4 linked regions of the Drosophila melanogaster genome follow. The protein of the gene in region 1 interacts with the protein of each later gene in a pairwise test. Each region holds a gene or a part of one and is shown in the gene's direction. Other genes may lie near its edges.

What was found.
Region 2: the proteins of Pfk (region 1) and Nadk1b interact in a two-hybrid assay, tested with the Drosophila melanogaster proteins (one large-scale study listed by BioGRID).
Region 3: the proteins of Pfk (region 1) and trus interact in a two-hybrid assay, tested with the Drosophila melanogaster proteins (one large-scale study listed by BioGRID).
Region 4: the proteins of Pfk (region 1) and Mlp84B interact in a two-hybrid assay, tested with the Drosophila melanogaster proteins (one large-scale study listed by BioGRID).

What each region holds. Positions count from the first base shown.
Region 1 is NT_033778.4:10,108,057-10,115,768, forward strand, and holds the start of Pfk (phosphofructokinase), read left to right. Parts: upstream 1-1,683; 5' UTR 1,684-1,785; coding exon 1,786-1,829; intron 1,830-1,876; coding exon of another isoform or gene 1,877-1,894; coding exon 1,895-1,997; intron 1,998-2,049; coding exon 2,050-2,117; intron 2,118-2,175; coding exon 2,176-2,491; intron 2,492-2,813; exon of another isoform or gene 2,814-3,372; coding exon of another isoform or gene 3,373-3,417; coding exon 3,418-3,519; intron 3,520-4,560; coding exon 4,561-4,902; intron 4,903-4,959; coding exon 4,960-5,114; intron 5,115-5,228; coding exon of another isoform or gene 5,229-5,337; intron 5,338-5,486; coding exon 5,487-5,595; intron 5,596-6,069; coding exon of another isoform or gene 6,070-6,178; intron 6,179-6,860; coding exon 6,861-7,049; intron 7,050-7,258; coding exon 7,259-7,701; intron 7,702-7,712.
Region 2 is NT_033778.4:13,547,706-13,553,246, reverse strand, and holds Nadk1b (NAD kinase 1b), read left to right. Parts: upstream 1-1,796; 5' UTR 1,797-2,290; coding exon 2,291-2,574; intron 2,575-2,988; exon of another isoform or gene 2,989-3,087; coding exon of another isoform or gene 3,088-3,260; intron 3,261-3,330; coding exon 3,331-3,648; intron 3,649-3,710; coding exon 3,711-4,293; intron 4,294-4,352; coding exon 4,353-4,640; 3' UTR 4,641-5,003; downstream 5,004-5,541.
Region 3 is NT_033777.3:12,454,778-12,458,955, forward strand, and holds trus (toys are us), read left to right. Parts: upstream 1-1,795; 5' UTR 1,796-1,846; coding exon 1,847-1,954; intron 1,955-2,021; coding exon 2,022-3,115; intron 3,116-3,174; coding exon 3,175-3,430; 3' UTR 3,431-3,667; downstream 3,668-4,178. Other genes in the region: CG18549 (uncharacterized protein), read left to right, coding at 1-36, 108-565, 633-1,228; CG5961 (uncharacterized protein), read right to left, coding at 3,722-4,178.
Region 4 is NT_033777.3:7,112,336-7,119,498, reverse strand, and holds Mlp84B (muscle LIM protein at 84B), read left to right. Parts: upstream 1-1,766; 5' UTR 1,767-1,848; intron 1,849-2,782; exon of another isoform or gene 2,783-2,847; intron 2,848-3,660; 5' UTR 3,661-3,739; coding exon 3,740-5,227; 3' UTR 5,228-6,649; downstream 6,650-7,163. Other genes in the region: Alh (alhambra), read left to right, coding at 1-37, 451-541. UniProt on the Drosophila melanogaster protein: Plays a role in cell differentiation late in myogenesis. Transcription factor Mef2 is essential for expression.

The sequences.
Region 1 (7,712 bases):
GAATGCGGACTATTTGGGAGTTTGGCATGATTTTTCCGGATTTTGAATCAAATTAATCTAGCAGATAATTCGTTATTGTGTGTGTTTTTCCCGATCGAAACGGCCAAACTCTAGATGCTCCGAATTTGTTCGCCCTGGCGGTGCCTCGTGTGGATTTCCTCCTTACAAAACAACAAAAAAAAAACAACTAAATAATATTCCTAACTGTATACACAAGAAATGAAATGAGATAATCGGTTATTATACGTTTTTTGCAACAGTCCAAATTAATATTTAATTTTCGTATGGCAACAGAAACAACTGCAAAAGATACAGCAACAACAACAACAACCAAGCGAACCAAATGAGAAAACAAAAATAAAAACAAACTTATGTATTATTTGTAATTCTTTTTCTAAACAAATAAAACCAAAAAACCTAGTTTCCCATTTTACGTTTATTTCATTTCGAAATTGGTTCACTTTTCGTTTTTCAACCTGCCCCCCACACACACAAACAGAAGCACACACAGATACACACAGTCACACACAGACAGGGCTGCATTTATAATGCACGTGCGGAAATCGGTTCAAATCCCATGAATCAGGAACCATATCTGTTAGAGGAATGTGGCGAGAACGGAAAAATACAGAAAATATATAATTGTTCATTGCTATTTTTTATACATGTCTTACATAAAACAAAAGGGTTAAATCTACAATTGCAATTTCTTTGTTGTTTTTTCTTGGTATAAACAATTGTGAAAAGCATAACTCATATAATACATACATATAACCAACTGTCGTCTGTCAAATGAATTTTTCGAACGAAATGAAATCTAATATCCCCTCGCGGAAGTCCACTAACATTTTTTTTTACTGTGCAACATGGCGAAGGCACGAGTTTTATTGTGCGCAATGTCTGCCCAATTTCCCATTTATTCGTTAGTTGGGTGTAACTTTTTGAAGTACATGCATAAATATGTGTACGTTTAAGCCCAGAGAAGCGTTTCCCCAACAAAGAAACAGCCACAAATTGTTCCTAAAATCTGGCGATTATTTCTTAGCTGTTTTATTATCGTTCGAAAACGTGGTCGACTTCTTCAATCTATGACAATTGCAGCCTGCAAATCAGCAATGGAATTATTAAAACGGAAGTTAAATGAAGATCGAATCAAAATACATAAATATTGTGAACTAAACTATTCAAATTTTTAATTTAAATACAAGAAAACTTTGCATGTGTATTGAAAGAAAATATATTATTGTCCAGCATACAGAACATATGTATGTATGATAAAAGTAAATGTATATTTTCGCAATTGAATTTATCGCTATATTATGAATGTGAGGAATATAAAAAAAAGCAAACAAAAAAATATATATTTAAATAAAAGAAACACTTTTGCCGCAACGCTAATAAGTCGAATCCCAGAACATATAAAATAATAATATTGTGAAACTGCAATACATTCATAAAACCGAAAAATAATAACAACCAGATGAAAATTAAACCGGGTGTAGGCGTAAATTGTATGCATATAACAGAGGCAAAGATTGATGTATGAGTGGAATATTTAAGTTTATTGAAATTACAGTTTCTTAATTACCAACAAAAAAAAAACAAAAAATTAAATAAATAATACAAAAACCAACCAAATGAGTTTTTATTCAAATATAATATTTGTGATCGTAGTTACATTAGCTAAAATGTCAAAAATCATAAAAAAAAAATGAGTTCAGAAAATGAAAAAAATTGGTAATCTAATAAAAATGTTCAATATTTAGGAGCAAAATTTAGTTTGGCATGCATTCAATAAAATTTCGAGTATTTACCAAATTAAAACCTATGTAAGTTGTTGTCTGAATTTGATTTATTCACTACACCCACTTATAAGCTGTTCGATTGTTTGGAGATTTTTGGAAATCAATGGACGGATACCCATTTGCCGCCATTTTCATGGTCCTACAACATTTCGCTTAGAAATCTCAAACAAAACACCTCCGATTAGGCAAAAGGTAAAAATCGAATTTAATTTTGATCAATTTATAAGACTTTGTTTTACTTTAGCTCACATTTCCAAACATCGGCATCCAATGCACACGAAGTCATCATTTGTGTTGTCCTCGAGATATTTCGTATGTGCTTATATAGTTTGACTTTATATTATAACACTTCTTCCTTTTACTTGCTTAGAGGAAATACTCTTTTAAGTGTAAAATTTAATTGCAAACGACATTGTATAAAGTTGCGCAGTGATTCTGGTGATCAAAAGAATGATAGTCCTGGTGAAAAAAACATACAAAAAGACAAGTCTGCGCAACGATGTGGAAAACCAATAAACAATCTGCACAACGGATTTCTTAATGCTGTGAACTATTCTGAAAAGAATGCGGTGAAAAAGAAAAAGAGTGCACCAAAAAGGAAATGTGGCAAATCGGTGGATGAGCTGCGAAAGTGTTTAAGAACCATGCAGGATGTTATTGATTTTGTACATCCAGTCAAGCCTTTTGTAAGTTTGTCTCGCTTTTTACAGTTTTTTAAATAATTACGCACTTAAACGAGCACTAATATTCAACGATAAAAGCTCTTACATTTCGTTACTTTACGCGGATAGTTGTAGATAGGGTAGAACATCAGTTGAACACTTGAGATATAGCATAATAATTGGCGTTTCATAAACATTTTCGAATCTGAGGATACATTTTCCGGTTTTTTGAATATCAGAATAACGTATTATATAAACGATAACGATAACGGCAATCGCACCCACACACAACCGATGACTGCTCCCGAATTTCCCCATTCCCAGCGGTGAAAGCTCGCGAAAGCTTTTACTCGCCCAGTGATAACCAGCTGATCAACAGCTGAACGATTGTGGGTCGAACATAAACAAATTGGTTAAACGCTATTTTCCGCTCGTTGCTAGTCGCGAAAAGTCCGTTCATAACAGACAGAATCCTCAGATTTTCGACCTAAATCAAACCAAGTTAGGGCAATCGCGTTGGAGCGAACTCTTGGGCGGATTTAGCCATCCGAAGTTTGCATTGCATCAGTACGCACTTACAGAAAGCCCGTGGCTGTGTGCGTGTGTCCGTGTGTGTTGTGTATGCGTCTCTGGCCTGAAGGTCACCTTGAAACGTCAAAAGCAAAAGCGAAACTTGTGAATACCGCCTGCGAGCGTACATATTGCTAGTAACTGAAAAGCCACGGCAAGGAGCAGTAGTAGTATTTATAGCCCACTTGGATATAACCCAGCTCCAGCGGCGCTGCTCGCATAGTTGCAAAACAGGGAAACTCCCTACCGAGTACAATAGTGGTTCATAGTGTGTGCTTTGTGCGATATCCGTTACGACCCCAGTTTGATTTACATATAGTGCAAAAGATTGAAAAATGAATTCCGAGATTAATCAACGATTCCTGGCCCGCGGCTCGCAGAAGGACAAAGGACTGGCGGTCTTCACCAGCGGCGGGGATTCCCAGGGCATGAATGCCGCCGTGCGAGCCTGTGTCCGTATGGCCATCTATTTGGGCTGCAAGGTGAGTTGGTGACCTCTGTCAAGTACTTTCCGCCCACGCAGCATCGCGTCCGGTGACCCCGACCCCCAGGCACAGGCAACAAACCCATGTGAACCCAGAAATTTACGTAAAACACCTGGTAATTTGCTTATCAGCAGCCGTTAAACCACGACTATTGGGCCGCAAAGCCAGTTAGATAATCTCCAATCGGTGCGAAAAGAAATTCAAGAATATATGTGTACATGCACATTGACATTGGGTTTATTTTCGGGTCCCTCACATGCGATTTCGATTTCGGCTAATTTGTTTCGTTTTTTTGTTGTCGCTCTTGGTTTCTATTCGGTTTATTTAAATGAGTTCTTTAATTTGTTAGGGAACTTCTGGCCGGCCGTTGGTCCCTCGAAAATATGCAAAAAATGTGTCAATTGCTAGCCAATTTAAATTGATTAAAATCTATTCATTTGATTTCAATTTCTTGGGGGTCAATAAAAGTAAAGTTATTGCCACGCTTTGCATGACAGCGCTTGATATGTTCAATAAATTGAACAAAATTAATAAATATATCATGAGTATGCTAAACAAATGGTTCCAAATCAGTTCAAGTAATCTAACCTTTGTTTTTAATCTACTAGTGCCTTGGCATCATTATTGTTTATGTTATTTTTTCACTTTTCAAATTAAGAGCGTTATAAAATTTGAATTCTTGGTTATGTGAGTTGCTTAAAAAGTATCGATTTAACATCGATTACATTGTAATTACCTGTAACGGTATTTTGAATATGCAAATGTTTTGTTGTTTAAAACTTAAACTTATTCAGTAAAAGTTGAGAAAGTATATGAGATAAGTCATATCATATTAATTTCTATTGACTGTTCTTTACTGCTTCCTATTAAAATATTACGACTTTGGCAGAGTGAAAATGAAATTAAAATAATTTATACTCGAATTCGGTGATTCATTTTTAATTGTGCTAATGATGTCATGTGCCATGAAGATACCAAACTCTATACCAAACTGTTTTACACCATATCTACAATTGATTCGTGTTTACCTTCGGCAAGGTCTACTTCATTCGTGAAGGCTACCAGGGCATGGTGGATGGTGGCGACTGCATCCAGGAAGCCAACTGGGCCTCAGTCTCATCCATTATCCATCGTGGTGGCACCATCATTGGCTCCGCCCGTTGCCAGGACTTCCGTGAGCGTCAGGGTCGCTTGAAAGCCGCTAACAACCTGATTCAGCGAGGAATCACCAATCTGGTGGTCATTGGAGGCGATGGCTCCCTCACGGGCGCCAATCTGTTCCGTCAGGAGTGGTCCAGCCTGTTGGACGAGCTGGTCAAGAACAAGACCATTACCACCGAGCAGCAGGAGAAGTTCAATGTCCTGCACATCGTTGGATTGGTATGCTACACAGAGTATTCCTTGGATATATTTTCTTATGGATGAATCTTTTTGTAGGTTGGCTCCATCGACAACGATTTCTGTGGCACTGACATGACCATCGGCACGGACACGGCACTACATCGCATCATCGAGGCAATCGATGCCATCTCCAGTACAGCCTACTCCCATCAGCGCACCTTCATCATGGAGGTCATGGGTCGTCATTGCGGGTAAGTTGATCTCTGAGCGGATATTTGCGAGGAAAAGTTGGGATGCCTCTGTATTAGCCTAAGTGTCAGTGATTAATTGGGATTTTAGCTAATGCCTGGAACGACTATCTCTAGCTATCTTTCGGTGGTAGCTGGCATTATCTCCGAGGCAGACTACGTCTTTCTGCCCGAGTCTCCTCCGCAGGCCGATTGGCCCGATCGACTTGTCCTTAAATTGGAACAGGCAAGCCCAAAACGGAAATCTGTTGAATGTCGTCGACTCATTTCGCACATTTCTGTTTCTATGGCCGCAGTACTATGTCGATCGATCCCCATATCCTCCAAAATCCCATCCCCCTTTTGACTAATATTTTGTAATATATATTTTTGCAGCTATTTAGCTCTTGTGGGTGGACTGGCGTGCGAGGCGGATTTCATATTCATTCCCGAAATGCCGCCCAAGGTCGATTGGCCAGACAGGCTCTGCTCTCAGCTGGCCCAGGCAAGATGCAGCTCCATTTCCATTCCATCAGCACTGCGAGAAGTCGCAAAGCATCGGAAATATGTTCTCGACAGCTTGTATAGGATTTTAGGATATTATTCTTATTAATATAGCCAGTTAGCTGTCGAGATAATATTCCTGTTTTAGATAGAGTTGTATACTTCAGTGCAGTTGTCGTTGCTTGATGCTTAAGTAGTACACCTGTACACAATTTTTTGAAAGACACATTTTAAGAGCGACACTTGCCATACAAACGCTTGTTCTTATTTTCTGCTTACTGCACACGAATGTATCTTTAAACACAAACCGGAGATACGGAATGAATTACGCACAGTTTTTGTCTGTACCAGCATACCGAAATCATATTGTAACTAATCTTAAGTTTACCCCAGATACTCCCAATCCCCGGATAATTATCTCCCCGACATTTGTGAACCATCTTTTATTTTTGTACCTAATCTCTTGTTTTTTTAGTTACTTAGCCATATCGGCAGCCATAGCCACAGAGGCTGATTTTATGTTCATACCCGAGGAGCCGGTGTCAGTCAATTGGAAGGACGAGATCTGTGTCAAGCTCCACCAGGTCAGGTCCAGAGTCCTTCGCTATCCAATTAATTTCTAGTTACTCTTTTGTCAAATTTTTGAATTTCTAAATTTTATTCTGCATTGTTTTTGGACTATTCGATGTGCCGAAATTTCCATGGCGATAAACAGCTTTAACAGCTATTTGATTTACTTGTTTGGGTTTTGAGTCTCTGTTTTATGTACTCACGATGATCTCACTGAGTTCCCTTACTAACTTTTCCAAATCCACTAACGTCCATCCTCGTTTAATCGATCAGTAAATCTTCATCAATGTTTTCTATTCATCGACTTTGACTTGTGCGTCCATTCTTCATATTTCAAAACACCAATTCAGTTGCAGTGCATTTCAAAGTTTCAAAACTGATTTAAATACTTAAATACATTGAAAAGAACGTGCACACAGCCATTTTAATGATGCAAACTGAAATACATGAATATCACAGAATAACGTGAGTTAACTTTATGAAACGCACTGCACTCATTCGCTTGCTGATACACATTTGGTGACACTATTTCAACATTGTAAAGCAAAGCATATGTAAACTACATTTTTTTTGTTATGATGATGTCTACTCATCATGCCTCTTCATAATTCGTTTGTGCTTTTGTAGTTTCTGTATCATTCACGATTAGTATCTTACATATATGCTTAAGTGAATCCCTTCACCATTGACCAACAGGAGCGATCTGCTGGCCAGCGTCTGAACATCGTGATTGTGGCCGAGGGAGCCATGGATCGCGAGGGTCATCCCATCACAGCCGAGGATGTAAAGAAGGTGATCGACGAGCGTCTGAAGCACGATGCCCGCATCACTGTCTTGGGTCACGTGCAGCGCGGTGGCAATCCCAGTGCCTTCGATCGTATTTTGGTAAGTAATTATCCAAAGATCACCTCAAAATTTAATTTTAATTAGTAATTTACAATGCCAGCTATTTTTGTTTTATTTGTATAGCATACTTATATTAAGAAGCGCTGTAAATCCGATTTAAAACACTAAAGTTACCAAAATAAGATATACTTATTAAGATATAATTACACTATTTTTGACTTGAGAGTTAATGCTTCTAACCCGCATAGGCTTGCCGCATGGGAGCTGAGGCCACTTTGGCCCTGATGGAGGCCACCAAGGACTCGGTGCCAGTGGTCATCTCTCTGGACGGCAACCAGGCGGTTCGCGTGCCGCTGATGGAGTGCGTAGAGCGCACCCAGGCTGTGGCCAAGGCCATGGCGGAGAAACGCTGGGCGGATGCCGTCAAGCTGCGCGGACGCTCCTTCGAGCGGAATCTGGAGACCTACAAGATGCTGACGCGCTTGAAGCCGCCCAAGGAGAACTTCGACGCCGATGGCAAGGGAATCGAAGGATACCGCCTAGCTGTGATGCATATTGGTGCTCCGGCTTGCGGTATGAATGCCGCTGTGCGCAGCTTCGTGCGCAATGCCATCTACCGCGGTGATGTGGTTTATGGAATCAACGACGGTGTCGAGGGTCTGATTGCCGGAAATGTCCGCGAGCTGGGCTGGTAAGTAATCC
Region 2 (5,541 bases), 3.4 Mb from region 1:
GGATCTCGCCACCGGAACAACGAGGTTGTCGTCTCAAAACTCGGTTTTTTTTTCATACTTTTCCAATAAAAAAAAACAACAAAAAATGCGTGAGGAGGATCTCCAATTGGCCCTCCAAATGGTGGCAAGTACCTCGGTGTCCAGTTCTCTGGAGGAGGAAAATGATGGAGCGGCAGCCACGTCGCCGGGCAACTCACCCAAGCCATTGAGAAGAGTCCTGGATTTGAGTGAGAGGCGTAAACAATTCAGGTGGGTGGACTAAGAAAGCTTCACAGGAAGGGAAATAAAGAGGTAAACATAGTAAACATGTAGTTTAGACTAGGTTTTATACAAAAACTACAGCTAAAGCTAGTTTCAACAGTGTCTATAGTAGATTTCCTATTAAAGAAAGATTCCAAGTGCTATTAATAGCTATCTGTGCAATAAAAACACATTAAAAAACAATATATTAAATGATATTCTTAGATCTAATTAAAGTTTTTCACACAATGCCATTTCTCCGCCATATAGTTGTATATTGTTTATAAGCGGTTCTAAAAATAAACAACAAAAATGTTTGTTTGAGAGGTTAAAAGCACTCAAAAACACGTACAAATTAGGCTAAAAATAAAAATGGTGTTTTCACGTGCCTGACTAATTTGCAATGCCAAGTACACTCCTTTGTCGACATTAATTATGAATGACGAATGCTCTTCTGAATGACGAAGGTGAAGACATCCGTTGGGTTTTTAAATTTCGCGCTTACTTTCGCGATGGGCCAAGAAATCGATGCTATCGATTATTTAATCGACTTATTGACAGCCCTAGCCAAAACTTTGACCAGTTTTTTTTTTGCATCGAAAGAATTCGTTAACAATCAGTGCGGTGTACTGCATTTAAACGGCATATATAGCACGGCATTCCTCCAGATAGGGCACAGATGTGTCCCTGATCTCTCCAAGCATCTGCAGGCATACAAGTGGAATGCCAGCACCAGAGGACCTAAACTCCTCCGACCAAGAGGAATATTTCTGCACCGAAAAGGACGCCGCTGCCGATGGAAGTCATCTGTTGCATGCCCCTGGAACGGTGGATGGAGCAACTGCATCCACCTCGGCTCCGGGACTGGGCGGCAACCACATGACCAGCAGCTGGTGGTGGTAAGGTCCCAATCACCTGCCCGAATTTGTAATCATGCGGTCTTATACACAACTCTTATCGGATTCCCATCTCACATGCAACAACACAGTGGTGGCCGTACGAATAGGTGCTTTAAGCGATAATTCCATTGACCTGGCACGCGACTAGCATTCAGTGTATGTTTTGTTTGTTTGTTTTTAATATATTACTATAAGCTTACTAATTATTAATTAACTAGGCTGACATCGATTTTAGGCTAACAAAAGTGCTATGTTGCTTAAGTTTATTAGTACAATGGCAAAAAAGGCATGTACTAGGTTCTTGGCAGGAATTTTGTAAGCATAAATAATTAACCATATTAAGTAAGTTTAGGAACTCATAGATATAACCTCTTCACTCATGTTTTCCTCGTAAAAGTTGAATAACCCATCTTAAAATAGTTTTCTTAATTCCATTTAAACGAAAGAAATTGAAAAGCGATTTGGTCTAGACTTGTGCCAATTTCGGCAATTGATACGCTTTGATAGCTTCGATGTTATCAATTGAACTGCTAATTGATCGCCAAGGCCTCTGCGCCTGCGCTCAGCTAAGTGCGATCTGGATTGGAATCGGGAAGCTGTCAATGGTGCGGAGTAGAAAACCCAGTCCGCTGCGGACCAACGTGGTCAACTCAGGCGCTCAGTTGTTGCTCGCACTCGCGATCGCCCGGTTGACAAATTCAGGGCCCTCCGTCATTTCCATTATGGCCATCAATTTTCCGCCCATTTGTGCGCAATAATCAGTGGTGGAAAATCGTTGGAAAATTATCTCACCCTTGGCATAAAGTTAAAGTGAACACATAAAGCATAAAGCCTAGTTTTTCTTAAACACTCCATCAGCGTAATGCATTTCTGATTACCAGTTTGTGTGTCACATTCGCTGATAAAACACTTTCTCTTTTACGGCCGACACATTCACATTTTTTGGGCTCATATTTTGTTGGCTCATCGATGAAAAGTGCGTGGGCGTGTTATTTTTAAAAGCAACCGACTCTCGTGTTGTGAAAACAAAACTCTAACCTTGGTCCCTTTTCCGCTGGCCAAAAACAATGCCGTCCGACTGCATTCCATGAGCGCAAGTGTATGAAACCGCATTCTTTTTTGGACACAAAAGTGGAGTTACAATCGCAGAAATGGCATTGTCGGACATTGATTTGGCCACCTTGCACGAGAATCGCTTGGAGCAGCGCTGGCACTACGGATTGCCCAATAGCCACCACATATACCATCAGCATCATTATCATCATGTCGGATTCAGTGCCATGACGCGGCTCTGTCTCGAGCGCAATCTGCAGAGGAAAGTGCAGCCGGACCACAACGGAAACTGTCTGGCACGGGGACGTTCCCGGGAGAATGCCAATGCCATTGATTCGTCGTCGTCAGGTGGTGGGCGACGCAGGCGTTCCGGCACCTGGCCGTAAGTGGACAAACAGCTGAAAGGTTCCCCTAGCTATGAAATTGCATGCGAAAAGCATGGAATTCGTAATCCAAATCCAAATCGGTACGATGGCGCAATAAGTGCACTGGCAAAAATATGGTTCCTACTTACATATTCAAGTGGAATAAAGATTTATTGTTCCAAATGTTCGAATTTCAAAACTTTTATAGCATTTAAAGTAGATCTTTTAAATCAAATACTTTATTGTTGCTTACTTTATTGTACATAAGTTCCCTTACAACTGAATGTTTAACCAAGCCCCTGTTTTTCTTAGTGCATCTACGAATGCAAGCAGGAAGGGGAATTGGAAATGCGATTCTGGGGAATCGTATCCCACCAATGTTCCCCAATGTTTTTCTCTCGACTTCTGTCTGCCTTCGCAGTCGCCATTTGCATAAGGTTGATTTACAGTTGAGAGAACTTAGTCTGCATACTGCAAAGGTGGAGAAAACAAGCCAAATATTCTGAAAATCCTGTTGAAATATTGAACAAATGTTTCCCCTGCGTCCTGATCAGCCGCAGGCGGTTGCCTCGTTTCCGCTCCACAGCTCCTTGAGCATCGAAGAGTTCAACAATGTGAAGTGGGAGGATATAAATGATTGCAATAACAATTGCATTCGGGAGGAGCCAATTCTAAGGCCCAAAACCAATCGCCATATTTTAAGGTCTTTAAGGAGCTAGGTACAACAAAGTTATCCATACTAATTGTTCTGTTTTCCCAACTCTATTTTACAGGCGCACTCGCAGCTTGAATGCACCCTCGCCTGTCCAGCAGTTCGGACCATGTGGTCGCATCATGAAAAACTCCGCCATGGTGATGCAGATCCAGGATCCGGCTAGTCAACGTCTCACCTGGTACAAGCCACCACTCACCGTGCTCGTGATCAAGAAGGTCAGCGATGCCTCGGTGCTGGCACCGTTCGTCTACCTGGTGGACTGGCTGCTGCAGGAGAAGAACATGGTCGTTTGGGTGGAGTCGGCCGTGCTGGAGGATGTCCAGCTCAACGAAAATGTGCGATTCAAGGCCATTCGGGATAAGCTAGTGACTTTCAAGTGAGTCGGTGTTTAATGAGAATGTGTATATAATATAAATAACCTATTCATTATGCCCGCAGAGATGGCCGAGATGATCTGACCGATCGCATAGACTTTATAGTTTGCCTGGGTGGCGATGGCACCCTGCTGTATGCTTCGCTGCTCTTCCAGCAATCTGTGCCCCCCGTCATGGCCTTCCATTTGGGCTCCCTCGGCTTTCTCACACCCTTCCGTTTCGATAACTTTGAGGAGCAGCTGACCAGCGTCCTGGAGGGTCACGCTGCCCTAACGCTTCGCAGTCGTTTGCGCTGTGTTATGCATCGCAGGAGCGATAGGAAACACGAGGCTAAGACTCTGGAGGCAGATCTAGATGGTGAGGCGCGACCTGCAGCCAACAGCATACTGGTGCTCAACGAAGTGGTCATTGATCGTGGTCCATCGCCGTATCTGAGCAATATTGATCTGTTTCTGGACGGAAAGTATATCACGTCGGTGCAGGGCGACGGTCTGATCGTATCGACGCCCACGGGAAGCACGGCATATGCGGCGGCGGCCGGTGCGTCCATGATCCATCCCTCCGTGCCGGCGATTATGGTGACTCCCATCTGCCCGCATTCGCTTAGCTTCCGACCCATTGTGGTGCCAGCAGGAGTGGAGCTGAAGGTGGGTCGCTTTACTCATAATTCCCATAGATCCGTTTCTAACATCTGCTACATTTTCAGATATCAGTATCCCCCGAGAGCCGCAACACATCGTGGGTTAGCTTCGATGGACGCAACAGGCAGGAGCTCTTCCATGGCGACAGCCTTCGCGTGACCACCTCCATTTATCCCGTGCCATGCATCTGCGCCCAGGATCAGATATCCGACTGGTTCGCCTCCCTAGCCGACGGACTGCACTGGAATGTGCGCAAGCGACAGAAGTGCCTGGACGAGCTGTCGGATCTGACGGCATCCGGATCGGAGGATACGCTGGACGAGATCGAGAACATGAAATTGTACGATGTGTAGTGCGTAAGTCCCTGCAGCTAATAGAAACCGTAGGTTAGGGCTTTTAGTTGTAGTTCTAATGCTTTCGCCCTTTGCTTAGTGTGTAATTTTTGTAGTATTTTCGGTAACAAATTGTTTAAACACATTTGCCAAATGTATGGAAATCATTTTATAACTTTTACTGTTCGAAACGCCAGTGCTCTTGCAATATTGTACATTTCAGCTAGTTAAATATAAATGCAGTTGCAAACTGTAGCAAAAAGTTGTAGAGAGCATTGAATGAATGAATCTCAAATCTTTGAGAATTAACATTAAAAAGTCCCACTTCTAAAAAGATAAGCAATTGAATTATATATTACTTAATAAAATAATACCTGTAAATTCAGCTTGTAGCCGCAAATTAATGGAATGTTTCAAGCATTTTACCAAATTTAGCTTGAACATAACTTATAAAACATTGTCAAGTTGTGCTGTAGATTAAGCCTGATTGCAAACTGATTGAAATGTGTTCTCCTCCAGCTTCGCCTTGTAGATTTCGCATTAGTGTAGTTCCAGCCGGCACACCCAGATCATCTGGACTGGTTTTTAGAGCGCCTCTCCCAGGCCACTTGTTGCATGTTGTTCACCTCGCGACTGTCTTTGGATCCAATCGAATCGGAATCGGATTGGATTGGATTGGATTCACGTGGTTGCCACGCACTTGGGCCTGTCAGAAAGCATTAGTTTGCATCGATTTGGGTGCGAATCGAAAGTGTATGTTGCTATCGCCGATGCTGAGGCTATATGTTTTGCGCCCTCAGGCGGTACGAGCCATGTTCATTACGCGGCTAAAATCTTGTGCCATTGTGTTAATGCGCGCGATCGTGTTTTAGCCGCATGTTTTCGCCTTTTTTGCCCGCCGAACTCAAGGTGTGCTCGCCGT
Region 3 (4,178 bases), on another chromosome or scaffold:
ACGAGTGGCCATGGTCGTGGGAGCACTGACCTATACGTGAGTATATACCCCCCCACCGGTCCGACTCATACATTTTGGTACCTAAAACATTTGAAACTCTTTTGCAGAGCCTTCATGATCACGTTCATGTTCCCGTCGACGGTATTGCTGTACGTGGGCAGCGCAGTGCTGGGATTGGGTGCCTCGATCACTTGGACGGGACAGGGAACGTATCTGGCGCGCTGCAGTGAATCTTCCACGATTTCCCGTAACTCTGGCGTCTTCTGGGCCCTGCTGCAGTGCAGCATGTTCATTGGGAATCTGTTCGTGTACTATCAGTTCCAGGACAAGACCCGCATCGACAAGGAGACACGGAATCTGGTCATCGGCGTGCTCACGGTAATTGCTGTGCTGGGCATCGTGTTTCTGGCCGCACTGAGATTCATGGCCGATAATGCCGAGCACGACAACGAGCTGGAACAGAAGCACACGGGCTGTGGACAGGCCATATACGCATTGAAGTCCGCAGGACAATTGTTCCTCACCAAAAAGATGCTGCTCCTTAGTCTGGCCTTCTTTTACACAGGTGGGTTGGATTGTGGTCAAAACTGAATAGAATCAGAGATACTAAGTGCTTAAACATAACTTTCTAGGCCTGGAGCTGTCATTCTTTAGCGGAGTTTTTGGATCAGCGATTGGATTCACCACGAAAATAGCCGAAACACCGAAGGAGATCGTTGGACTGGTGGGCATTTGCATTGGAGCCGGCGAGGTCTTTGGAGGAGGACTATTCGGCATACTGGGCAACAAGACGACGAGATATGGACGCGATCCCATCGTGATTGCCGGCTATGTGATGCACATGGCAGCCTTCTTCATGACGTTCATCAACCTGCCGAACAGTGCACCGTTTAAAGATACCACCGATATATCCTATCTGGACCCGCCCCGAGCCAGCATCGCCTTGGTGTGTGCCTTCCTTTTGGGCCTGGGCGATGCCTGTTTCAACACTCAGATCTACTCCATGCTTGGCGGGGAGTATGTGAACAATGCCGTGGGAGCCTTTGCCCTGTTCAAGTTCACCCAGTCGGTGGCGGCGGCCATTAGCTTCTTCTACTCCTCGCACTTCGGGCTGTACGTGCAGCTGGGCATCCTGGTGGTTATGGGAACCATTGGCACCATTGCCTTCGTCTTCGTAGAGTGGGGCTTCAAGCGGCAGCACCGCGAGCAGGAGGCGTTGGAGAAGTAATTCCGTTGTGGGACTCAGAGGATCTAGAGTATTAGATGCAGGTTCTTGTTAGAACTCTAGGGCTAGGGCCATTTGTCCGTGTTTGTTAAATTCCTCGGAATGCTTTAAATCCGTGCGACTGCGTCGTCTTCCTAGACAATAACTGATAAGTGTTGTTGCGCGCTATTGTTGCTAAATATACGTATTTTAATGTTGGCATTCCAAAAAACGTAATTGTAATCTAGTTGTCTATGTTTTTATATGTGTGTATTGTATATGTGCGTTTATTTATTTTAAGCGGCGATTGTGCAAATATAAGATAGTAAACCACAAATTTGGAGTATTATAAGAAATATATAACGAATTTTAAGAAAATAATAGTTGTTATGGATCTTACTTGTGTGCTACTCATTAATAATAGAATTTTGTGCTTTTATTTCATTTTTCAACTATTTGATATATTTTTGAACTGCCTAGATTTCATACTTTGAAATTCGCACACTCGATTACGATGAGTCGATATCTTTTAAAATCGATAGTACCATGTGCAACTATCGGTTGTCTGCCCATGAGCACTCATTTCGCCCATTCCTAAAAGAAATCATTCAATTTTGAAAGACTTGAATGAAACCATGAAAAATGGCCAAGAATAAGTCGACTGTGTACCTAGGATACGAGGATGAGGAGGTTACGGCCAAGCAGGAGCAGCTCCTGAACAGTTGCACAAACAAAATCGGTGGCACACCCGTAAGATAGGCGATTGCATCGACTTCAATAGAGGCAGCGGATAATTGAAATTGATTTTTACCCACAGGATTGGCCCAGACACGAGGTGACCATTCCGTCATGCCCGCTGTGCGGTGCAGTGCGTCCACTGATCGTGCAGATGTACGCCCCGCTGGATCGCTCCCAATTCCATCGCAGCCTTTACGTTTTTGGATGCATGAACCCAGTTTGCTCTCAGAATTCAAAGAGCTGGTGTTGTGTGCGCACTCAGCACCTGGACCACCAGTACGAGGTGATCAGTGAGCATTCGCCGAAGGCAACGCCAACTAAGAAGCAGAACTCCAAAAAAAAGGGGAAGTCGAGCGGATTGCAGGCTATCAGCTGGTGTAGTGGAGCGGACGACTGGGGCGACAGCAGTGGTGGAGCAACCGAACAGGCCAAGACCATCTCCGTGGCATTGGACGAGGCTATGGACATCACCGCGGACGACGACCAGAACGAACGGAATGGCAATGTGCGACCGAATGCCCTGCAGTACGCCAAGTCAGACATCCAAATAGATGAACCAGCCAAACTTGAGCAGGTAAAGATTGCCGCCGATGATGACGACGACGAGGACGAGAGCACTTCGCTGGAGAACGAATTGATCTCTGGCTTTCATCAAATGGACATGATCTCGCCGCAAAACGCCGACGATGATCCAAATGCTAATTGTGCAGCGGCCGCCGCTCCCAGTTTGGATGGAGCTGGAGCCAGTGCCGCCTCAGCGGCCATTGGTGCTGAGATCGAGGGTCCCGAAACGGATCTGGTGCTGGTCGACACGCCCAAGAAGCCGGAACGCGACCTGATTGCCTTGTTGAAGCACACCTCGGGTGCGCTGTCGCAGATCAAGGACCTAACGCTAAAGTCTTACTATATTGCCGTCGATGTAGAGAACAAGACCCAGGCGGAGGAGTACGAAAACTTCGGAGGCGCTTTGTCCATGGACCACATTCGTGATTTGTATCAGGAGTACAAGCTGAGAGACCAGAATCCGGGTCAGTCACCGACCGGCGGTGCATCTGGACCAGGAGAGCAGGGCGATGAGAACGAGTCCTACGAGAAGGCATTGCCAGCCCATGGCGATTTGGTGTTTCACAACTTTATCACTACCATCCATCAGAATCCGGGCCAGCTGTTGAGGTAAACATTGTACTTCTATCCTCATTAACTTTCCTCTTACCCAAGTTGTTCTGCTTCAGATATTCGCGGGATACGATCCCGCTGTTGGTGGCCCCGTTCACGGAACCTCTGCCCAAGTGCCAGAATTGCAGGGGAGAGACCATCTGCGAGGTGCAGCTGCTGCCCACACTGATTCCCAAGCTGCGGTTCCAGGTGAACGGTTGCAATGCACCAATCGAGTTTGGCAACGTGCTGGTCTTCACCTGCCTCAAGAGCTGCTGGGACACACCCGACCTGATGCGCTACGAACATATTGTGGTTCAGTCTGAAACTTAAGGTGCCGTACACGGCCATTTCCCAAAGCCATTAGAGTCATTCGCTGTAGCCGCTACGATTGCAGACTGGTGCAACGAATTTTAAACGCAAACTGCAGAGATAAAGCTAAGCTTCTCGATTGTCCTAGGAAGATTTTATGCTCTAGTTGTTAAGAACGTTGTAAGCTTTTAGACACTCCAAAAATGGATAGTTGCTAATAATATCTCGTTATTTCCACTCCCCCTCTAAAAGGGTTTCAAAACATATTGTTTTATTTCCAACTTGCAGAAATCCATTCTAATTCTAATTAACCTAAGCCAATGGTGCATCAGCATCAAGATGGTAGCTCTTTACGGTTGAGAACCTCAGCGCCGGATATTTGGCCTCGGTCAAATCGAACTCGGAGCTGATGTCCACCTTGTTGCGCTTCTGCACGAGCGTGTAATGTGACCAAACCAACTGGGCGCATCGGCGCTTGGTGGTGCCTGCGATGCGCAGCTCGATCAGGAACTGTGAGGAGTCCTCATCCACTGGCATGATACTCCCTCGCCTCTGCCGCACGTTAGCCGGCCCTCGCTGCTGCGACTTTTGCAGCACCAGAGTGACTGTGCTCCCGAAGAGACGATAGCGACCCCGAAGCATTTCCGCCCGTACGTTGTTCACGTGCTTCAGTTTGGATACACCTTGCGCCGGCTCATCGGCAGTCGTCATCATCAGCACCTTGCCATCGGGCAGAAAGCGAATGTAGCGATAGTACTCCACCAGTTGC
Region 4 (7,163 bases), on another chromosome or scaffold:
TTTCCACCTCTGGCTCCGCTCTGGAGGATAACAATAGGTGGGGAACGAGAAACGCAAAGAAAAGGTCTTTTACAATTTACATTTTTCAAAATTTGGTAGTTACTTAGTTTACGCCTGATTTTAAAGAAACAAATGGGACTGTGTTGCACATCTATGATTTGCAAAATTGTTAATTTATCGAACACCCGGTGTAGACAACTCTTTTATTTTGTTATTCTAAATAAATTGTAATAATTAGAACATAATGTATATTAAACAGTGCCCAATGTTACTGAGAAACCAGACTTTTTAAATATGTTTTTGTAATTTCATTGAAAAAGGCAACTTTTGGAATCCGTTTCGTTTATTAGAGAATATACTAATACTAAAATAACCCCGTATAAGACCTTTTTCTACTGAAACAATGTATAGAAAAAATCACACTAATATATTTTTCGGTTGTTTCTGTAGCTTAATATCCCGCTATGATATCAAAGATGTTCAAGTTGCACTGACGCCTCTAACAGATTTTGAGAAGGAAATCGAGAAGAGCTCCAAGAGGGTAAGTTGATTTTTTCTTTGTTTATCTTTTAGCATACTATTAATAGAATGATAAACAACTCAGTTATCGTTCCGAAATATTGAGTTAATATAAGCTTTTTTACTTTTAAGGAAACTTGTTTCGGATCTCTTGAGTGATTTTTGCGAAACATTCTCTTAAAGTGTTTTCTCTCTTTTTGGATACAATGTTGCTATATTAATGATGGTTCCCATTATCTTTTACACTTGTATACAACTTGTCATTTAGTTTTTCTCTGATCAAACCTAAAGAGTGGGACAGAGAGTACTACTATATTCGTTTCACTCGCCAAAAGTTTTGAACGCAGGCGCCTTGCCAATTTTTGTATCATACTTATAAGTGGAAATGCAATTGCAAATGCATGTTAAAAATGTTTTGAGAAATTCTGCCGAAGGTGCGCGTTAATTATACAAAAGGTGTTGCCCACCCGTTCTTGTCTTTAAGAAATTCCGTGTTTTTCAATGCTACCCCTTGAACTTCGGAATTTTCGATCGATCCATTTTTTAAAATGGTGTGTGTTTCGATCGAAATACTGTAATAAATCAAATATTAAATTAGTTTGTTATAAATTTGAGAAACTTACTACTACTACTTTGATTTCAAAACTAAAATAATCGGTAAAATCATACCATTAGAACTAATATCAAAATGAAATCATTCTTAGTAATGATATTAAGAGGTATTTTCTGGCCGAGTTGGCCCCCGCCATGTCTGGTTCTATTTTGCCGATCTGATTGATGCTCAATGATGTACCCATGCCCCATTAATTTCCTTTTGAACCAAAAATGCATGGCAAAATATCGAATTTTAATTAAATGCAAATGCGCATGTTAATTTATTGATGTTGAAGTGCCAATGTTCCGAAAGGCAGGCAGGCAGTGGCTTTGAACAAGACAGTTGAACCATGTTGTTGGTCCAATAAAATACCAACATCATCTTTTTCGCCTTGTCATGAGCACGATCACCTGGAATATTCTGCTATAAAATGACCGTATATACAATTTATGAAAGCACATTTTTCTTGTATACTAGCATATTGTATATGTGAGAGCAGATATTTTGTGATTTGTTGGGATTCTTGTTCGGATGGCTAATGTATTTATTGTTGGGGCTATATAGTCATCCCTATCATTTTCTCTGGCGACAAAGTTGCCTTCGTGCCGTGTGCAGACAAAGACTGAAAGCGCTTGACAAATTTTTCAGCGCGATCAGTCGAAAATCGTTGTTAATCGAAGCTAAACTAAAATTAAGGATATTTCTCTTGCGAACCTTTTTATTACGAACGAAAAGTAAATATCAGTTTTTGTCAATGGAAAACGAAAACCAAAACCAAAACCAATCACGCATAACCCAGTAAATTCCAATATTTTGTGTTGTGCTTGTCTAAAAAATATCGGTTCAAGCTCTGCTACAAACCAAACGCGAAGCGATGAAAATACAGTTTTGTCAAGCGATCGTTTAAATTTAGAACTTGTGCGTAATTTGGACCATAATTTGACCCACAAATGAGAGGAGGAATGTATGGCTCCACACAGGAAGCATTTTTCCCACACACTATTATTAATAGATTCCGTTTTTTCGAGTGTGAAAAAACTTTACGGAAACTGTCTCACTCAATAAAATGAGAACTATTTGCGAGGAGTTTTTTTTTCAATCGAGTTTTATTCAAGTACAAATCGATCATCTTTTCATCAGATCAAATCGAATAGTCACTATCCTTGAATAGAGAAAAATTAAAGATACAGTCCTTACTCGACGTAAAAAACACGTACATTTTGATGAGTTTTATAATCTTATTGCATGCAAAAAGTATTATATTTAGTCGGGAATATAAACAAACTCCCAGATGCCTGAGGTTTCCAATGATATGCAACTTTTCGATCATCTTTGATAATCTCCCACTGGGATAAATGTGCATATAATATACACAAAAGTTAGCAAACATCCAAGAATGAGATACGGTCAAGAAAAAACGAGTGAAGGATATGGAATAAAAAACTTTTTCGAAGAATCGAAAAAGTTTAAAAACCGCAGATGCATACCAATATGTTTCCATCCCACTCTCTGGCGTTATTTGATGAAAACTGAAATAAAACGAAGGAAAACTGCTCCGTGTTGCCGCATCTTAAGTTTCTCAACTCGGTGTGCTGAGCAGGAAAACTCAGTGGCAGCGGCGAAAAGTCGACCGCGTTGCCGTGCCGTGTGCACTCACAATTATATAGACTAGTTTGCTTTGAGCAATCTTCCAGTTCAGTACTCGGCGCTTCCGTGTGTGGTTTTAGTGCGTTGTAGGTTCCGTTCTATCTTGGCTATAATACACTCACACCCAACGGTTGGATATCGCCAGCTCTTAACCGATTTTTTTGCACGCAGCAAAAGACCATTGCAAAGCACCTGACTAATCCATCGCAACCGCTAGATAACCAGATTACCGGCCAGGGACGATGCTCATCTGATGGTGGTGCTTTAGCTCTGACTCAGTTTTAGAACACCCAGATATGTACATATATATATCTGCCACAGTTATTTTTTGTGTGTGCTTTTCCCAAATCTATCTACCTGTCTGCGTTATTTTTATACAACATTTTCTGTATAGATAGATACACATTTATTGCTCATGTTTTTCTCTGTGTTCTGTGATTTGAAAAATTCCTCCTTTATTTTTTGTTGTCATGAGAAAGATGTTATTTTCTGATCATTAACATAGGAATCTTCAATATGAATTACGTATACATACGTCCGGTTGGGTAATTTTCTGGCACGGGCGATGACGTCTCGACTGACAGATAAGAATCTTGATAGATGATCTACATAATGCAAATTGAGGAGAAATTCGCGACTGTCAAGTTGAATTTGTAATAGTTCATTGTAAACTTAAGATAAAACAAGCGTCTTAATCGTCCAAATAGGTTAACATGTAGATTAGCTTGAATTAACTAGTTGGGCTTAGAATAATTTGGAAACCATTTAACATACAAAAATGACAGATGCTTACCTCATCGCTTTCATCGCCACCAAAGCTTCCACTCTGCTGCATTTCCCAGCAGGACTTACGCCACGATCCCATCGACTCTATGTGTTCTTCTATTTTGCTATTTCAGATAATAAACTTAATAAGTAAAGTAATTGTACTCGCGTAGATCATTTTGATAGCGTTAAAAAAACCGAAACACAGACAGAATGCCTTCCTTCCAACCGATCGAGGCCCCCAAGTGTCCGCGCTGCGGCAAGAGTGTCTACGCTGCCGAAGAGCGTCTGGCTGGCGGCTATGTATTCCACAAGAACTGCTTCAAGTGCGGAATGTGCAACAAATCCCTGGACTCCACCAACTGCACAGAGCACGAGCGCGAGCTCTACTGCAAGACGTGCCACGGTCGCAAGTTCGGGCCGAAAGGTTACGGCTTCGGCACTGGAGCTGGCACCCTCTCCATGGACAACGGGTCACAGTTCCTGCGCGAGAACGGCGATGTGCCGTCCGTAAGGAATGGAGCCCGCCTGGAACCCAGGGCTATTGCTCGTGCCCCCGAAGGTGAGGGCTGTCCTCGTTGCGGTGGCTATGTGTACGCCGCCGAACAGATGTTAGCCCGCGGTCGCAGCTGGCACAAGGAGTGCTTCAAGTGCGGTACCTGCAAGAAGGGTCTGGACTCGATCCTGTGCTGCGAGGCTCCGGACAAGAACATCTACTGCAAGGGCTGCTATGCCAAGAAGTTTGGACCCAAGGGCTATGGTTATGGCCAGGGCGGTGGTGCTCTCCAGTCCGACTGCTATGCTCACGACGACGGAGCACCGCAAATCCGTGCCGCCATTGATGTGGACAAGATCCAGGCCCGTCCGGGTGAGGGTTGCCCACGTTGCGGCGGTGTGGTCTACGCAGCGGAGCAGAAGCTTTCCAAGGGTCGGGAGTGGCACAAGAAGTGCTTCAACTGCAAGGATTGCCACAAGACTCTGGACTCGATCAATGCCAGTGATGGTCCCGATCGTGATGTGTACTGCCGCACCTGCTACGGCAAGAAGTGGGGACCACATGGCTATGGATTCGCATGCGGCTCTGGTTTCCTGCAGACCGATGGCTTGACCGAGGATCAGATCAGCGCCAACAGGCCCTTCTATAACCCGGACACCACGTCAATTAAGGCCCGTGACGGCGAAGGCTGTCCCCGGTGCGGAGGAGCCGTATTCGCCGCCGAGCAACAGCTGTCCAAGGGCAAGGTGTGGCACAAGAAGTGCTACAACTGCGCCGACTGCCACCGGCCATTGGACTCGGTCCTGGCCTGCGATGGACCCGATGGCGACATCCACTGCCGCGCCTGCTACGGCAAGCTCTTCGGCCCCAAGGGCTTTGGTTACGGCCACGCCCCCACTCTAGTGTCAACCAGTGGCGAGAGCACCATCCAGTTCCCAGATGGCCGTCCTCTGGCCGGACCCAAGACTTCGGGCGGCTGCCCGCGTTGCGGTTTCGCCGTGTTCGCCGCCGAGCAGATGATCAGCAAGACCAGGATCTGGCACAAGAGGTGCTTCTACTGCTCGGATTGCCGCAAATCGCTGGACTCGACCAACCTGAACGATGGACCCGACGGCGATATCTACTGCCGAGCCTGCTACGGCCGCAATTTTGGACCCAAGGGAGTGGGCTACGGTCTGGGCGCGGGCGCTTTGACAACGTTCTAAACGAGCCTATTTTATGTATATCCAATCGAAACCCACATCCATGTCTGTGAACCGTTCCGATGCATCTGTCTAATGACCAATCTGTTTTAACTAACTATCCCTGAAATTAGCTAACTTAGTCTTCGTTTTGCTTCCAACGATTTTTGATCAACGATGCACTGAATGCAATTCAATTTTCTTTAGGTTATGTGAGATTAAGTTTAATATGAAAACAAGAAAAAAAGAATAAATGCCAAAAACATAAAACTTACGACTCAAAGCGAAACTAACCATCGAACACAGACTAACGAACTAAACGACATTGACCACATCGAGAAAAGCAAAACTTTCTGCAGGTGAAACTGCTGCGAGCCAAAGTCGTTATTACTTTTTTGTATCTTAAACTATTTATTTTCGAAGACCAGCCAAGTATGTCTTATGCTCCAAATCGAATTACCCAAAAGCATACTTTGTGCAAATGGAAAAATTTTATACACATAAATATACTCTTACGACGAACAATGATGAAAGATATGATGTTGTATATTTAGCTGATTTAGTTCTTACGATATACTTATGAAATCTGATTATTTATAATGATGTTTGAATGATTTCTCACCCATCTAATCTCTTGCATTCTGTTTGGGATGCCAGCCATGGCAGATATAAAATATTTATTTATATATATATACATCAGCGTACATGTTCTGCATACACACACACACACACATAACATCCAATAATATATGCCCCAGTGGGTTCCATGAAAACAAAATGATTTCGAAATGGTTTTCGTAGTTTTAATTGATTTAATTGGGTGTGCATACCTGAGATTTCTGCATCTAAATGGTTGGTTGGCAATCTGATTGGAATGACCGGTGGGTGGTTGGGTTGAGTTCAATTCCGTTTGTTTCGGGATCGTTCGGTTCGGATTGAGCCAGCTCATCTGGTCTATATATAGCTTGTTCGGCCGACAAACATCGTGAAAAATAATTGCTCAACATACGCACAAAGAACGTTCCCTACATATACGTACAGGAATAAATCCTTGGTTGTGTGTGTGTGTGGCCTCTCGAGAAAAACATCGAAATGTTCCATAACCGTACTGAAATGGTTTTCTAAATATAAATATGATGCCAATATGCCTCACACAGCTGACCCGAAAGCTTTTCACAGCACTCAAAACTCTCACTCAAGAGAAGAACTTAAGAGATTGTATTTATTCGCATATATACTTGTGAGGAATCCCTAGTTATATTATAATAATTATAACACGTGCCTGCTGAGAATGTTGTGTAATAAATGCTTTACTCACCCACCCACCTAGAGCAAAGTTCTTATTGCTAATGCACTTTTAGGATCACCCCCCACCCGAAATAACCCCTTGGGAACAAAATTTTAATGATTCCGTCCCACGCCCACTTGCGCGCATTATTCACATTTCTATTCATTTTATTCGACATCCTATAGGTATGGTATGGTTTTATGCTCCGTGACGTTGACCACGAAAATACGTTGCCAAGGGGTTGGCCAAACTAAATAAATTATTTTTTGTTTTAATATAATTTTTTTTTGTTTCAGACACAAATATCAAATAAATCGCCTTCAGCCAGGTGTGTTTACGTTAGTTTTGGTATCGCATTGGCGAGAATATTTATAGACTTACCGAGTCAGCGTCTATTTTCGAGTGATTTTGGTTTTGAAATTGTTTCGCATATGACACACGGCACTTCAAAAACACCCGAATTGACGAGCCACAACAGTGAGAATATTTTTTGCGGACTGCGCCGCTGATGTTGATCTCTAAATATACTTGGAGATGTATTCTACTCGTATTCGATATGGCTTTTCTAGTATGTTATTAATGTTCAATTTCTGGCTTTGAATGGCGCGAATAGATTTATGCCTTGCTGAAGTCCGCGACTATTTGTATAACGGATCGAACATGATAATGGCT